2 linked regions of the Mus musculus genome follow. The protein of the gene in region 2 binds, or shares a complex with, the protein of the main gene of each other region. Links are inferred from orthologs where the notes say so. Each region holds a gene or a part of one and is shown on either strand. Other genes may lie near its edges. The genes, in order: Polr2b and Gtf2e2.

Evidence for each region.
Region 1: Gtf2e2 (region 2) and Polr2b share a complex: the UniProt entries of both Homo sapiens proteins name them as parts of the TBP-based Pol II pre-initiation complex. The link is inferred for Mus musculus from reciprocal best matches to the Homo sapiens genes GTF2E2 and POLR2B.

What each region holds. Positions count from the first base shown.
Region 1 is NC_000071.6:77,332,793-77,341,344, reverse strand, and holds part of Polr2b (DNA-directed RNA polymerase II subunit RPB2), read right to left. Parts: intron 6,929-8,552; coding exon 6,774-6,928; intron 5,712-6,773; coding exon 5,513-5,711; intron 4,919-5,512; coding exon 4,750-4,918; intron 2,025-4,749; coding exon 1,928-2,024; intron 971-1,927; coding exon 876-970; intron 1-875. UniProt on the Homo sapiens protein: Catalytic core component of RNA polymerase II (Pol II), a DNA-dependent RNA polymerase which synthesizes mRNA precursors and many functional non-coding RNAs using the four ribonucleoside triphosphates as substrates.
Region 2 is NC_000074.6:33,727,334-33,736,615, reverse strand, and holds the start of Gtf2e2 (general transcription factor IIE subunit 2), read right to left. Parts: upstream 4,550-9,282; 5' UTR 4,487-4,549; exon of another isoform or gene 3,942-4,486; intron 3,035-3,941; exon of another isoform or gene 2,910-3,034; intron 2,891-2,909; exon of another isoform or gene 2,544-2,890; intron 2,430-2,543; exon of another isoform or gene 1,066-2,429; coding exon of another isoform or gene 1,061-1,065; intron 883-1,060; coding exon of another isoform or gene 879-882; coding exon 710-878; intron 1-709. UniProt on the Homo sapiens protein: Recruits TFIIH to the initiation complex and stimulates the RNA polymerase II C-terminal domain kinase and DNA-dependent ATPase activities of TFIIH. Both TFIIH and TFIIE are required for promoter clearance by RNA polymerase.

The sequences.
Region 1 (8,552 bases), on a different chromosome or scaffold from region 2:
GCAGTAAGGAAGAACTTAAGAAAAAAAAGGACACTATACCTTCACACAATACTGTTAGGAGTCCACTTCGCTAGGGTAAGAACTTTCTAAGTGGCCTGTGACAGTGACTAACAGGAGACAAGAACTGCTGAATATCCTTTCATTATCTTAAGATGTTGAGCAGTATTTTAGCTAATAAACTGTGCTGCTCTCACAGCGGTTTAGAGAAGACACTGAAGAACAAGCAAGCAGCAGAGTGAGAATGCAGCGGGACGTGTGGCCATGAGATAACACAGCCTCACTTCTTTCTTCCCCACCGACTAAGGAGAAGAGATCTGAAGCAAGAATGCCCTTAAGTCTGAGCTCTAAGAGCACCACAGGATACATACATACACACATACACACACACACACACGCACACGCACACGCACACGCTAGATAAGAGGAACAGCAGCACAGCCTGGCAACACTGCACAGGCCAGCACAGCAGTGAAAGGGGAACCCCACAGTTTGACGTTATTATGGTCTAACTCCCCCCAGAATAGCTGTAGTCATTTTGTTCATGCCTGCCAGCTATTTCATATTGTTGCTGTAACATGCCTACCAGTCACTGACACAAAAAAGTGACTTGGCTAAAGGACATGCTGACCACATACCCTGGTTTTGTCCTGTATGTTCTGAATATCCTGTATGAGGTCTTAAGAAATTCCACAATGCTTTACATAGGAGTCTTCAAATCAAAGGCCAATATGGACTGTTATGTCTGGCTTAAGTCAGAGCTGGTCACCCGGAGCTAGTCTTCCTGCGCCTGTGTATGAGCTCGCTGTGGCTTTCGTGCTGACACTGAAGAATGCTGCTAACAAGCCCTGACCCCAGCAGACATCGCTGTCTCTTACCCTGGCATGTCTCACGTGTAGGCTTCTCAAACACTTCTTCTTGATCAAATCCCTTTTTAGACTCTTGTTCTTTGTATGATCGGTAGAAAACAGACCTAAAAACACAGTTGCAAAGGTCATTTATATTTTCTTTCAGTAAAATGGCTTAGATTACAGCAATGGTGTTTGGCTTAACTGATATCTGAGAGACAATTTGAACCACAAAACAGGCACAAGGGTCACTATGTACTAGGGTCAAGGTTCAGTTTAAATGGATTTTACATGTAGCATTTGACTCACAACTGTAAACACTTGGCATCACACATGAGACCAGGGGGACCCAGGTAATAAGTCCAGCCTCCTACTGACAGAATTCCTCTCCTAGCAGCCCGAGCACGGCCTGCCTTCATCTGCTCAAGTATCCCCACTGAGGCGTTTTTATATGAAGTTATGATGTCCACACTTCAGTCCTGGTGCTGCTTTATAGAATTATATAAGGAGAAAAGTTTCCCCTCTAAATCCCCCGTGTTTGAAAGAACCTTCTTATGCTACTACATATTTAAGATTAATCTATTGTCAGTAAGAAAGGGGAATATAGGAAGCCAAGTCATGGTGCACATTTGTAATCCCAAAACCCAGAAGACTGGGATGAAGGACTGCTGTGAGTTCAAAGCCAACCTGGACTACACTGTAAGTTCAAAGCCAGCCTGGACTACACTGTAAGTTCAAGGCCAGCTTCAACTACATAGTGAAATTGTCTCTAAAAACAAACAAGAAAACAGATAAAACACACCATTATTTTACCAGCAGTTATTTCAGAGTTCTATTTTCTATTTCTTCCTTAGATGTTTCTATATTATCTAAATGCAATTACATATTTGCTTACAACAGAAAAACATTTAAAATATCACATCTGAAAACCCAGAGACACAAGACTCACCGCCAATAGCTGTATGACCACCAGCCAGGTCTGCTTTTGGATTAGGGCAGTCAAGCTTATTCTTTAAAAACTTTATGAAAAAAAATGCATTTCCACTATATCTGTGTTTCAACAAATATTACTATAAGCTGACCTGAAAAAGCCTCGATCCACAGCTGAACGATTCATGATAACAGAGTCTTCTTGATTATAGCCCGTGTAGGATGCAATGGCCACAATTGAGTTGATTCCTACAGTACATTCAAAAACAAACAGTAAAGGACCCTCTGGGAAGCAGGGAAACCTATCCTTTCATTGAAATCCATTTTCTTTCATCCTATTTGTCACAAACACTTGGATGTTTGTATCATGGAAACTGTTGCTGTCTCCTCCTCCCTGAACCTGTGTGTGAGGCAAATGCTCTGCTTGCTTAACCCTGAAACCATCACTCCCAGGGAAGCCATCCTTACTATCAGTACTCCTCCATGTAACATGGTCTATAACTACAGAGTGCTTCCCCTAACCCTAAATAAACAAGCTTTATTGTTCTCACGACTCTAAGGTAAGAACATACATACGCCTCCAGAGTGAATTAGCGACAAACTCAAGCCTCAGACCCTAGCCTCCTAATTTCTAATTTTAAATATGAAACCAACACCACCCTGCTGCTCTCTCCCCATGCCACCACAGTTGTGGCACCATCTTTCAGGCCACAGTTAGATCTTAGTAGCTGCTGCCCTAACTACTGTAATGGATAGGTGGCTAGGTGTGTGCCACAGGTCTACCACCTGACACTCGGGGAGGCAAGGGCAGGAGGACCATGTTAGCTCAGGAATATGAAAACAGCCTGGGCAACATAGGACCATCCCATCTTTAAACAGCACCAGGAAGGAGGAGGAGTGGGGAGAGGGAGGCAATGAAAGGGGAGGTGGGAGAGGGAGGGAACGAGAAAAAAAGAAGGTGAGCCCACACTATGGCATTTGCTGTACAAGTCTGGCCAACTAAGTCTGACCCCAGAACCTATATAAAATGGGAAGAACCAACTCCACAAAACTGTCCTATGATCTATATGTATGGCACAGCATCTGTGCACAGTAATAATAAACAATAAGAGATTGATTCATTGTAAGGAATTATGAAGCCCAAAGTTGTATTCCCAGCACTAACGAAGCGTGTAGGAAACTCAGCCTATGGGATATAGTGACCCAATCTTTTATCAAAGAAAAAAAAAAAGAGGAAAGAGGAGGAAGAAGAAGATTGATAACACATAATATAGTAAACTAAAGCACTAGAAAGTGTTCAAACTGAGGAAGACACTGGAAGACACAGATACCTCACAGTTCCATGAATCAGGATTAATATTGTGGAGATGGGTATCCTACCATGGGAAAGCTACCAACATAATCCCTAGTGCTATTCTGCACAGAGACAGAGAAAGCAATCTTATCATTCATTTGAAAGCACAAGAGACCCAGACAGCAAACGCAGTCCTGAGCATAAAAATACTGCCTAACTTCAAAGTATACTACAGGCCAAAGTAACAAAAACAGCAAAAAATCAGATATAGAGATCAATGGAATAAAACAGAGGACACGTAACTACAGCACCTAATTTTTAATTTTTTTGTTTAAGACAGGGTCCGTTATGTAAATCAGATTGATTTAGTACTCAATATGTAAGCCAGGTTGGCCTCAAACTGCAAGAGATCTGGAAGCCTCTGTCTCCTGTTTGACTAAGGTTCAGCTAACAACCATCTATAACTCCAGGAGAGATTGGATACCTTCTTCTAGCCTCTGTGGGCACTGCATGCTTGTGGTACACATACACATATACATGCACGCAAGACATTCACACACATAAAATAAGCACAAACAATTTTCAAATGATTCAAGGACCTTAACATAAGCCCCTAAGACTCAGAAATTGTGATAAAGAAACTGGAGAGTACACTTCACCATAAACATTGCCATGGTTTTCTGAATAGGACTCCAATCACTCGGGAAATTTGGCCAATAATTCCCTGCAAAGGGAACTGTCAATCAAATGAAGAAACAGCCTACAGAATGGGAGAAAATCTTTGTGGGTCAATGCCCAACAGAGGATTTGAATCTAATCTAAAACAAACAAACAAACAAACATCAAGAAGCTGAACAGAGTTCTTAAAGGAATACGGTGGCTAGTAAACATTTTAAGTGTTCAACATCATCAGCCACCAGCAAAACGGAGATTAGAGCCACTCTGAGATTCCCTCACACTCCAGTCAGAAAGGCTACTCAGAGATCACAGGAGGAAATGCAGACCAGGATGTGAGAAAGAGGAGCCCTATTCACTGTTACTGGGAGTGCACCCTGGTGCAACCACTGTGGAAATTAGTGAGGTTTTTTAAAAAGCTGAAAGTGTAATAATCATATTTTAATACCCATGGAATCCAATTTCTGCTGTTATATACTCATGGATGTGGGGCCATTCACTCAAGAGGAGTAGAACTACCAATGGCCACACCCTTAACAAAACCTGATTCTCCAGCTCTAGGGAGCTGCCAACTCCAAGCCTTCACTTTTAAAACAATATTCAAACAGGTCCGGCTCTTTCCACACCACGAGAACAAGCTTCAGTCACATATGATGCTCTGGCCACACTGCACCGACATGACCTAGTCCCACATCTCATGGGTTCACAAATGAAGGAAGGCCTTTGCTCAAATTCAAATTCAAATACCCCCTTTACCAATATCCTCCTTAAAAGTGGCTCTACATTCCAAGAGGAATCAATCATTTTGACACTGTACTTGAATAGGACTTTATACCCAACATAACCCTTTCCACACATCCACTGTTTTAATTCATTCATGGTTCCACATCTAAAGTCTGGAAAGCAGTCAGTGTTGTGTGCGGTTTTTAATCTTCCCAAGCACTTCTCACTGCAGAGTCTTAAGCAAGGCAAAATCGTAAAAAACAAAGAGCACACCGAACGTACCTGCTGGCAGCTCTCTGAATCGTAGATATTCCATAGACCGTGTAGTCACAAGGGGTTTCTGAGGATAGTAGAGAACATGGGCCAAGGTGTCCATCCGCACATGGAAGTTGGTGATATAAACTCCCATAGCCTGCTTGCCCATAGCAGACTGGTATGTGTTTCTAGGGGACTAGTGGTAGAAACAGAAAGTAAAGACAATGAATATTTAATAACACATCAGAGAAATAATTGGTTAAAAAGTTTCTGGCCTTGTCTTTTTCTCAGACAAGTAATAAGCCCTTATGGCTCTCAACAAGAACAAGAGCAAGCACCGGTGGCGCTGTAAATGGAGCCCCCAGTCTTGCCGTTTGAGCACTTGGTTCCCAGACGATGGCGCTGTTTCTGGAGGTTTAGGGGCTGTAGCCTTGCCAGGAGCACATCCCTGGGGACCAGCTTTGGGTTTCAAAGTCACGCGCCATCCCCACCTTGCTCTTCGCTTCATGCTATTAGATAAGGACTAGGATAACGATAACAGCTTGCTATTCCCCTGCCTCTGCTCCTTCATCATGGACTCTTATCCCTCTGGAAGCAGAGCCCAAAATAAACTTCCATCTGTAAGTTGCCTTGGCCGTGGCATATTATCACAGGAACAGAAAAGTAACTAATAAGCACGTCAAACAGCTGAGTCTGTAGTGCTCACACCCCCTGACAAGTCTTCATACTAATTTCTAATATTGATTACTTCCCCGATCTTTGCAAACCAGAAGACAGAAGTACGACCAACCTGGTTATGATCAGGAAAAGGAATAATAGATGCACAGACTCCAAGAATCATTGATGGGTGAATCTCACAGTGGGTGTAGGTAGAACAATAAGCTACTTCCTTCTCCTGCAAATCATCTGGAGTCATTGCAAGCATCACGGTCTCCTCTTCCAGGGTATCAATATACTCTACTACCCCACTGGCTACCAGATCCTGCCAACTAAAACAAGTCAGTTTCATGAGATACTGTAAGACAAAGCCTACTGCTTTAAAACTATTCCTATTTGTGTTTGTATTAACATGGAAAGAATTCAGAGACATGACTGTTAATGTGAAAAGGCTGCTGGACTATATATACCCTATTAGACTACATCTGCTATTCACTTTGTTTTAAAGACCTACACTTGTGGGCCTGAGAGGTGACTCAGCAGTTAAGAGTACTAACTGCTCTTCCAGAGGTCCTGAGTTCAAATCCCAGCAACTCACAACCATCACTGATAGATCTGATGCCCTCTTCTGGTGTGTCTGATGACAGCTACAGTGTACTCATATTCATAAAATAAATAAATAATTCTTTTTAAAAAATCTATACTTGTGAAATAGGGACAAGAAGTAGGAAAAACACAAAATAAGGCCTGGTAGAATACATATATCCACCTATTATTCATATGTATTTGTAAAGGACATTATGAAAAAAATTATGGCAAAATCAGCAAACATGAATTGAGAGCACTCACTCGTTTACTACACGTTACTTTACAATACACCTATGATATTATTTAGAGTAAATTTTTAAAGCAAGTTCATTTTCTATTAAATTTCTTATTTTTGCTAGGAGTGGTGGCACACGATCTATATTCTCTGTACTCAGGAAGTTGAGGCAAGAAGGTCATAAGTTCAAGGCCAGCCCTGGATTTCACTGCGTGTTCCAGGTCAGCCTGGCCTATACAGCAAGAACAAGAACGTTCCCCTCAAAATATACTAGTCACATTACACGTACTGTGTGCTGCACTACACAGGTTATTTATCATTGCATTTATCACATCAAAAGACTTCACACTTCAATACAAATCCCACAAGTCCACTGTAAACCAATAACAAAAAAACAAGAAAAATAAATATGGCTGCTGATGGTACGCTTCTCCCAGGGCACTGATAAGATCGTACACTGGAGAGTGACAGTGGCTGTCCAATCTTGTGACTACACTGAAAACAACTAACTATATACTTTCCATGGCAGTTTTCTGACTACATGTACTTTGCTTCTCACCCACCATCTTACCTGTAGTTGTTATATTCTCTCTCTTTCAACTGGTCAATGTGTCTCTTCTTCAAAAGCAGCTTCTGCTTTTCCACAATCAGAAGGGGTCTACAAATACGGCCTGCATCTGTATAGATCCGAATCTCCCGCTCTCGAATATCTCTGATCATAGAAACCTAGATATAAAAGACAAAACAATCTCGTTATTTTTTTTTGGTATGATGACAATTCAGCTAAAAATACAAGTAGCTGGGCACTGTAGGAGTCACCTATCACACCATCATTCAGGAAGCTGAAGGACAGGATCAGTTGATCTACAAGTTTAACACCAGCATAGACAAATTAGCAAGACTACATCTCAAAAGGAAGAGTTGGAGAGGTGGCTCAGCACTTAAGATCACTTGCAGAGAATTCAAGTTCAGGCACCCACATGGCGACTGACAACCACCTGTCACTCCAGGTCTAAAGGATCTTGTACCCCCTTCTGGCCTCCACAGACACCAGGCACACACAAGGAGCACATACATACATTAAGGCAAACATTCAGACATGTAAAATGAAAGGACACACACAGCTAAGCGATGGAGAGCTTGCCCTAGCATGTGTGGGCCTCTAGGTTTGCTCTTCAACTGTATACACTTGTCAAAAAAACTCAAAACAAAAAGATAAATCTACCATTGTTAATCTATTATAAAAAGATGTAATCGTAAAACTCATGAGTAGAAAAAAAATCTAACCTCACCTTAATTATTCAGCTGAATAACATCAGAAGAGTACACAAGTCAATGCAAAATGAAGAAAGCATTTTTCAGTACCACAACCACAAGTATATAAAATGTTCTTATTTTAGACTTGTATGTTTACTACTTCTTTCAGTTTGTTCTTGTAGTGCTGGAGAAAGGACCTCGGGCCCGGCTTCTGCTAGGCAGGCGCTGTACCACTGAGCTACAGTCCTACAGTCCCAAGCCTTATTTCAGTACAGGTATTTCATCTTGCTACCTTCCAGGAACCGGCCCTAAGTTCCTCTTTTTCTTAAACAGGATCTCTCTATGTAGCTCTGTCTAGAATCACTTTATGCAGAGCAGGCTGCCCTTAAACACACTGATCCATCCATCCCCTGCCTCCAGAATACTGGGATTGTTTTAAAGACAGCACACCGTGCTGGGATGCTGCTGTCTTGCCCACACTTTCCCATTTCCTCCGAAGCCTGACTTTCTCACCTAGCAGACAAACGGCTTACAGTCCACCTACAGCAGCTACCAGCCAGGTGATTACTGAGTACCTCAAATGTGACCATTCTGAACTGAAATGAGCTACAAGAATAAATTTCATAGATTTAAAAGATACTAATATATTTTAAAATATAAAGCATTACACTAACACTTTTATATTAGTAATATTTGAAGGGTAACATTTTGGATGTATCAGTCAAATAAAATATAGAATTAAAAGTTATTTCATTTGTTTATGTTTTTACTTAAAAAAAAAAAAAAAGATTTATTTATTATTATATGTAAGTACACTGTAGCTGTCTTCCAATGCACCAGAAGAGGGCATCAGATCTCATTACAGATGGTTGTGAGCCACTATGTGATTGCTGGGATTTGAACTCAGGACCTTCGGAAGAGCAGTTGGTGCTCTTAACCACTTAGCCATCTCTCCAGCCCCTATGTTTTACTTTTTTAATGTGACCACTGAAAAATTTTAATTGTATAGTATTTCTACTGCATGGTCTATAAACACATTCATAGAAAATATATAATGTATCTTGGAAAAATATGCAATATAAAATTTATGAAT
Region 2 (9,282 bases):
GATAAAAATGAAAAACATACTAAATAAAAGAAGCCACGTATAAAAGCACTCCCTGTATACAAGTCTATGTATAGCAATTGTCTAGAAGGCAAATGTACAGACAGAAGGTAGACGGTTGGTTATCTGGGGCTAGGATCAGAAATCACCACAAACGAGCACATCAGACCACTGAATGAGAATGGAAATGTTCTAAAATGGGAGTAATTAGTTGCACTATATTTACTAAAAAAGATTTGCCCTATAATTTTAAAATGTAAATAGCGTGTTCTAGAACCCAACCCTCAGTAAAGTGTAGGTTTTTGCTTTTGTTTTTTAAAACTTTTCCCCCAGTAAGAGTGGTATATACACTTTTTCGCCCTTTAATTTTATTGTATGGATGTTTTGCCAGCATGTGTGCCCATGGAGACCAGAGTTAAAGGTAGTTGCAAGCTGTCGTATGGGTTCTGAAAACATACTATGGATTTAAATTCATCTTTTATATTTAACCAAGAAACTCATTAAGAATATTAAGCTTGCTTGGTGTGACAGCACAGGTCTATTAAAGCTCTAGGAGGCAGGGCAGCCAACTCTGTGGGACCATCTTGTCTACATAGGAAGTTCCAGGCCAGCCAGGAACTGCATAGAGTCCATATCTCAAAAGAGAAACTGAACGTGCCATTACTAGCTTCCCGAAAAATAGTAACAGACGTCCCAAAACAGTTCTCCTCACCTGAATTTTGTTTAGAGCCTGAGGATCCTCCATGTTCGACTTTTGCCTTCTTCTTCTTGGATGAGGAGGAGGAGGGTGACTCAGAAGGCACAGCACGTTTTTCTACCACAGGAGTGGAAAGAGCTCGTTTTTTGAACAGCTCTCGATCTCTCAATAGGCTTGGATCCATAATGCTACAAGACAAACACGAACCTTTAATATATATTCAGATCACTCAAACCCACATGCCATGTCTACAGCCCTTGGCAAGTTAGTTCCCACAACATAGAGTGTCACTGTTCTGTGCAGCAGCTGCACATTAAGTGGCATGAGCAGGGCTGCAGCAGTGTGCACAAGGACTTCCAGGGCTACCTCATGAGCGAGCACTTCGGGGAACCAGCTGCCAACTAGGGTCTCCCCATTGCAGCCATCAATGACATTTAGAAGTCTCCAGAGATCATCAGTGGATAGATGGCTTTCATCCTTTGTTGCCACACTGTGACATTCATGAGATTTGCCTACAAGGTATAACCTGGAATCTGGCTTCTATCTGCACATCATGTAACAAATGAAGTAGATCAGCTCCTTCAGGGAGCACAGCTTATCAACTGTGAGACGAATTAGCAATACAAGAACCAGCTCTTAAAAGGGACAGTGCCCAGTCACTTCTGCCAAACCACAGGTCATTGTAAATAGTCTCGCTGAGGGGAAAACACAGAATGCTATCTCTAATAACCATGCTAACTTTATAGAACAGCCAAGAAACCCTAAGCCAAGTCTGCTGCCTTATCAGTTGTAAACAGCTACCTTCAAGAGCAGTCCAAAATATGTAACTAATAATTCTGAATGGTGGTTATCTCCAGTAATATGGAGTATGCATATATAGTGATGTTCACATATTGGGATTTGTGTAATAAAAATCAAAGGGAACAAAATTTTGTAACTGTAAGAACTTTCATATTCAAAATTCTTGACTTTCTCTTTAATGACAACAATATATCCTTCAGTTAGCCAAATACTGACAAATAATTTCCTGAGGTAAAAAGTTTCAGTGTTTTCCAGTGTATAGACTCAGACTTGTAACTTAATGGCAATAAATGACTTAAGTATTTCTATAAAATACACATGCATACATACATATATGTATACATACATATATACGTTATTATATATACATACGCACACAGAGACAGAGAAATTATCCTCCCCAGCTGGCTCTAGCTGAGGATATAGTTCAGCTGATAGAGCACTTGCCTTGTTTCATGGGGCCCTGGGTTAAATCCTCAGCACACACAAATTTTAATTACAAGCATAACTCACACTTGAAGCTCACATTATATACTGTGTACCAGTGCTCTAGAAGTTAGAAAGCATATTTAGGCTCATTGAAGAAGGAAGGGGGAGAAGGGGGAGGGGATGGGAAAGGGAAGAAAAGGGAAGGAAAGGGGAGGAGTGGAACTGCTATAAATTAAATGGTGTGTTTTAAAAACCAGTGCCCTCTTATTAATTAAGAAAGCTGGATTAAGGTATTAAAAACATCTATAGAAGCTGGGCATAGTGGTTGCACACCTTTAATCTCAGCAATTAACCTGGAGCAGAAGCAAGCAGATTTCTGTGAGTTCAAGGCAAGGGTCTACATACAGAGTTCTAGGACAGCCAGGACTACATAGAAAGACACTGGAGGGGTAAAAGTGTACAGAAAATTCCTGATTTAGGAGGTAAAACTAAATGATCATTCCCGCTCCTCCCCCCCACCCCACCCCCAGTTATAAAACTGTAGTTTTATAAGCATTTTTAAGCAATCTCAACACAACCAGAACACAAGAACCACCAGTTGAATCACCATGAATCTTACAAAAAGTCTTTTCTCTTCCTAGCACTCTGCAGCACGGTTCAGAAAAGCTCACTCTTGCCCCTGTGAATGAATTTCACACTAGTGTTCAGTCAGGGGGGAAAGACCACTCTACAGAGGCTACTTCCAATGATAACCCTTTCATACACTGAAAATATTTTAAGTTGAAAAAAAATGCATTCAATCCATCTTTTGTACTGAACATAAATGCCTAGCAACCTGGTACACAACAGCATATCAACTGTGCCTTTGTGATATCGACTGGGAGCTCACGGCAGCTGCCTAGCATCATTAAAGTACTAAGTCACTAGCCTAGCAAAACAGCGTTAACCTCAAGTTCAGTTTTTACTAAGTATTGCTTCCACGTACATCTTCAGGAAAGCCGGAGCATCCTAACTGGTTCCACACACACTGAGTTCCTTGATTAAATAACAGGGAGATGGAGACTGGAGATATAGCTTGCTGGAGGCAAGTGGCAGTGTGACAGGTTCAATCTTGATCCAAAGGGATTTAAAAAAAAAAAAAAGCACTCATATGGAAAACTCACTGTGAACTTTATGTAAGAAGAGTCGAAGAGTCCCTGGTCTAAGAGTAAAACATCTGCTCCTCCCAGTTTCAATTCCTAACATTTGAGCAAATAATCTACAGAACTGCTCTAAATGTAGTTTCCTCCTAGGTCTGGGGAATGGGGCACTATCAGTGTTGTACATACTTGGCTCAACTCTAAAAGTGAGGAAGTATTTATGAAAGATTTTTTTTCAAGAGTAATTGTTATTTTGGTTGTATTAGGTAAGAAATTAACATTAACTTAATATGCAAGTGAGAGAGGTATGAGTAGGGAAAGCATGAAAATAAGAAAAAATTCACAACGTGAGAAGACTGAGGAAACAGGCAGTTTGCAACTCCTAAAACAGGAACATTTTACTTCATAAGGTCAGATGACTAATCTGGACGTCAAATAAAGACTTTAGGACAGATCAAACCTGTACAACTTAGAAAAACCTAACTACATAATGCCCACAAGTCTGAAAGACTAAGCATTAGTGCTATGGCTAATTTTAACACATAAAACCTGAATAGAAGTGGCACAACTAAGTAAGAAGTCATGTGTCCCAGCCCTGGAACCCTAGCAAAGCTTTCTGAAATAAGAGAGACCTCTCTATATGATGATACCAACAAAGGCACCCAGAGCAAGCGGTTTACTCTCCGGAGTTCCAACTAACTTTTCCTCCTTTTGCAACCAACATCTGTACTGCAGTGCACATCTTAGGGCTAACCTGGGTGGTAAAGAAACTATATCCACGTCTACTTTACATTAATCTGGTCAATCAAAAGCCCCGAACAGGATGTTACGACCGAGAGCTGGTACGTTTCACGGTGGATAGCTACCGGAAAACTAACATTTCAAATCTTCAGGCTCCACTGTCCAGTTCTTTCCTACCCCAGAATCTGCAATCTTCCAGCAGCCTGTCTGTCTACTCTGTCTCTCGCTTCACGGCTCGCCCCCGAGTACCGGAGCACATCAGGAAAACGGAGCGCAGAGTTCGATCGGGAAAATACCTCTCGACTCCTCCGAAAACTCACAACCTCAAAAAGTTTAAAGCAGCATTAGAAAAGCCAGTCGGGAGGGGACGCCATGGTGGTCCCCCCAACTCCACACAGGGATGAGCTCGGCTGCTGTGGTTGTGGCCAAGAAGCGGTCGGCACCATCCGCTCGCCCACCCGGAATCCTTCCCGCTTTCCAACCCGAAAGTTTGCTGTATGGACGTCCGGCCTAAAAGACAATGCTGGCTGGGGCGAGCCCCTCCTCTCGGGGGCTCGGCTTTGGAGAACGGCTCGGCGGCGTGGCGTCCACGCGCGCGTCCCCTCGGAAGACGCGTCCCGCTTCGGGGCAGCCGAGTCCCACGCGGGACTCGTCCCCCTTCGCCCGCCGCCGCAGTCCCTACCTCAGCGCCCGCAGCCCGCGCCGCCTCCCAGCCTCCGCCTCGGCCGCACGCACGCACGCACTCACGCACGCACACACCCGCCCACCGCGGGCCCGCTTCCCGCCCCCCGCCGCCGTCGCGGCGCGCACGCCCAACACGGACCTGCCAAGGGGGTCGAACCCGAGGCGGCCGTGGTGGTGGCGTTGGCGACACAGCCCCGGCCCCGCCCTCCACTTCCTGGTGCGGCGGCTAGGACGCTCGCTCCCAGCAACCACCGCGACGCCGCTCCGAAAAGGCGCCTGCGTCACGGCGTGCTCCGCCCCGAGTTTCCATGACGACCGGAGCGCGCTCAAAGGCTGCCGGTAGCCACGTTTACTCTACCAGCTCTGCTCTAGGGAAGAACGGAAAGCCGCTTTTCTTGGCACAAAGTCGGAGCAGCTCCTTCAGCCGGCTCTGGAGTCTAACCCAACCGGCAACATTACCAATAAATCTGTCATATTTTTTGGAGGGTGGGTGGTTTTGGTTATTTGAGACAAGGTCTTCCTGTGTTGCCCTGATTGGCCTGGAACTTGAATTAAAGTTGCAGAGATCGTTCTGCCTCGGCCTACCAAGTGCTGCTCCATGCCAAGCTTTTTTATTTTATTTCAAATACCACTCACCAGAACCACCTTTAACAAGTGGCGGGGGGCTTGGGGGTGGGAGGGACAGTCTAGCAAAGGCAAACTCAACATAGAATTCAACTTCTGGACTTCAACCTCAAAACTTACAGCTCAGCTTCTGCGCTTCGAACACCGGCTCTTTTCATACCTGTGACCTGTCTTTGATTTTTTGGGGGACAATATAAGATGTGGGTGCGATATTTGGCAACAACAACAAATAATAATAATTGGCCCATCCTGCACCCTACAACTATCCTTGTTTGTACAGCCTAATCCAGTATTTAAATATCCCATAGCTGTAGTTTATTAGTACTAATTACTTTGGGTCTTAGTTTTGTATGTCCCGCCCCCCCCCCAACATAGGATACTAGTGATGATGCAGAAACTAACTTTGTATAACTAAATTTTTGTCAGGTCCAAAGGAGAGTCCAATTCTTCAAACTTCAAATGACAGTCCGAAGATCCACTAGTTAACTTAATCTGGACTATACGAGGAGTTCTAACAACTGACAAAAGACGGCGGCATTCCTCCGGAACTTGTGAAGCTCTAGTTTCTGTCTAGGAAAATGACTCATTTCCCTTTCCTCCAGCAAAAGTGACTTATGGCTCTCCAATTAACATGTCAGCACAAGGTGCAAGCCCGGCAGCCTCCAGACTCCCTCAGTCCCTACAAGCACTTATACATTTCAAAGCCTGCTCACCAGTCCCCTGGCCCTTCCCACCCGCCCACCGATTACTCATTCTTCTTGTTCACTCTTCTCCGCTCCTGCTGCTGCTTTTCTCAATAAGCTTCCCCTATTTTCTATCAGTGGCCATTTTCCCGTTTCTTGTAGACAGTCCTGGCAAAGCCCAGTCTGCTACACATGGTCAATCTACTACTTTCTCTCTCTGCCCTGGACTCTCCAGATCCCTGTGGCTGTTCTCACTCTCATGTCTCCAATAAAAACCTTAGCCATAACATGGGGTGGTCATGTTGGCAGTTTCTTCACCACACCCCTCTTGTATACATCCAGTGCCAAACATGCATACAGTCTTAGGGTTACCGGGATGAAACAACGTAATGAAACCCTTGGAGAGGAAAGGGTTTATTTCAGCTTACACGTCCAGGTAACAGTCCATCTGTCTTAGTAAGGCTTTACTGCTGTGAACAGACACCATGACCAAGGCAACTTTTATAAGGACAGCATTTCATTGGGGCTGGCTTACAGGTTCAGAGGTTCAGTCCATTATCATCAAAGCAGGAACATGGCAGCATCCAGACAGGCATGGTACAGAAGGAGCTAAGAGTTCTACATCTTCATCTGAAGGCTTCTAGCAGAACACTCACTTCCAGGCAGCTAGGATGAGAGACTTAAAGCCCACACACCACAGTGACACACCTACTCCAACAAGGCCATACCTACTCCAACAAGCCACACCTTCTAATAATGATACTCCCTGGGCCAAGCTTATACAAACCTTAACGCCATCACTGAGGGAAGTCAGGGCAGGAACCTGAAGGCAGAAGCTGATGTAGAGGCAATGGGATTGGAGGAAAAGATCCCCCTGCCTCCACGCTCTGCTGGGATTAAGAGCATTTGCCATTGTTGTGCTCTGAGTCCACAGGAAACCCAGATGAGCCCAAGAATGTCAAAGTCTGCTGCAACTCACTAAAGAGTCTTTTATTGTTTCAAGTTTGAACTCAGATAGTCAACCCAGCACTCACTGCGTGAATGTTGGCAAGCGACCCTGAGTCCAGACAGAAAACATTGGATTTATATACAATATAGTTAGAATAGTGTGAATATTCATGGAAAAGGGGAGTAGAGGGTAGAATAGTACTGAATTGGGGGGGTGTTAATGGGTGTCTGTTCAAGGACTAATTTTATGGCCATTCGTAACTGTGACCTGACCTCTGTTTACTTTTTTCCCATGGTCTCCCTTGAGCTTGTTATTTCTCTAAGGTCTCAAGGACAGGCACCTGGAGTGTTGCTGCTTATCAGCAGGAGTGTTTGGTTTTTGGAGACACAGAGGCGGAGAGGATGTCTCCTCAGAACATCCTCATTAAGGGGGGGGTTTTATGGGTGGTGCCATTCTAATGCTAGGGGAGGGGGAGGCAGAGGCAAACTGTACAACACTGAAGTCTCTCTGGTATCAGTAATCCAGGGGTTACAACACCACCAATCTTGGCAACCTTGCTAGGTTTAAAGGGACGAGTTGCAGCAGGAGGAAGCATGAAGTGGGAACAGCCTGGAAATAAGGTTAGCAGGAGGAGAGAGGGCTAGTCCAGAAAAGCCTGGGAGCTAGTGTGGGGACTCTGACGAGTGTCACAGGTATGTTTTGACAGGGAACGAGATGCTCCATTGCCAGAGATGGGCCATAGAGGCAGAAGCGATGAAACACTCTTCCTGAAAAACAGAGACCCACTTCACAGTTTTCTGAGAAATATTAATTTAGGCTTTTGTTTATCCACTATCAATCCTCCTGTTTACCCTGTCAGAATTCAGTCTGAGCTGAACTCAGACTGTCATTGATGACACTGGCAGCAGCACTGCCATTTTGGGGGTGTCTGCTTTGGACACAAGAAGGTCCAATACTGTGGGGAAACTGTTAATTAAGGCCGAAGTCCACCATGACCTCTGGGTTTGGTGCCATGTGGGAGACTCCCTTCATTAGCAGGGCTTCCCTTCTCTGACCTTGCCTGGGGAATTCAAGACCCCCACACATACACCTCTACCTGAGGAAAGTCACATACCCTCGATTAGATTATAGGATCAATTTCCATCCTCCTAGTAAAACCTGTCAGCTAGCACCTGAGATTCCTGAAATGTTTCCCCTGCTAATGAAGCATTTAAGTACCCTAAGCCCTCAACCAATGACCTCTGCCTGTCCTGGATGTTCCTACCTGCAGACCCACAAAGCTTTATAAACCTCGAATCACCCTAATAAAGTTGATCTGCCTCCTGATAATTGGTCCCAGTATGGTCATTCTCACAGAACTCCGGTTACCCATGAACACTACCCGCCCCCCCCCAGGTCATCTCTGCTTCCACTGCCCTAGTGGGCCATATCAGCAGATGACCCACAAGAGCAGGGAGACCCACACAATACAATAAAAACAATCCCAAAGGTTAAAATCTTATCACCCTGAGAAACAGGTGGCAGGCACCAATTCAGCAGGTTTTATTCTAACACTCCTTTCTTTTAAGACTGTAAACTCAACTTTGTCATATCTTCATGGAATTAGTTATATTCTTCATGCTGCTTTAGGGATGATGAGAGATTTGGTGAACAAAGCCAGACCGCATATGATAAAACTCTCAGCCATATCAATCGCACCACAACTTGTGGAGCAATCTACTCAAATGGTCAGGACTTCCTCGGGAGAGTTGCTAACGCTCCGTTTGAGGCTTAGGTTCTTGGGCCCCCTCAGAGTTGCACCAACTGGATGCTTCCCTAACCACGACACAGGATGCTTACTTCTGGGTACCCTGCCTCCAGCTTTCCTGCCAGCTTGGTCTACAGAGTGAGCTCCAGGACTGCTAGGGCTACACAGAGAAGCCTGTCTCAAACAAACAAACAAACAAACAAACAAACAAAAGAGCAAAGTCACAGAGGGTCTGAGTAAGTTATACAAGGTATATGGAGAATAGGACTTGAGAATAACATGTTTTATGATTAAGGTTTATAAAGTCCCAAGTTTATAATGGTCTATTCATGCTAACAGTAGCTGATGGAAAGATGTATGTCTAGTCAGTTATGTCTTTGCTAGCTTTGTTGAGCTTTAGCTAACTGGAAAAACTGAGCCATACAAAAAAACTGTGACATTGTGTAAAGTACACCATCAAAGGATTAGGGGAACAAGGTTCGCAACCTTCTCCATGGACTGTATCTATAAAGTTTAATTTGATACTAAAATAAAGCTCAATTCAAAATCGTAATTTTTAATTGAATATTTAACTGAATGTAATTGAAAATCTGAATAGGGATAAGAATATAAAATCCTAATCTAAACTAGGTGGTGGTAGCGAACATCTTTAATCCTAGCATTTGAGGAGGCAGAAGCAAGTGGATCTCTGTGAGTTCAAGGCTAGCCTGGTCTACAGAGTTAGTTCCAGGGCAGCCAGAGCTTCACAGAGAATTCCTCTCTCAGAAAACCTACACATGGGCTGGAGAGAT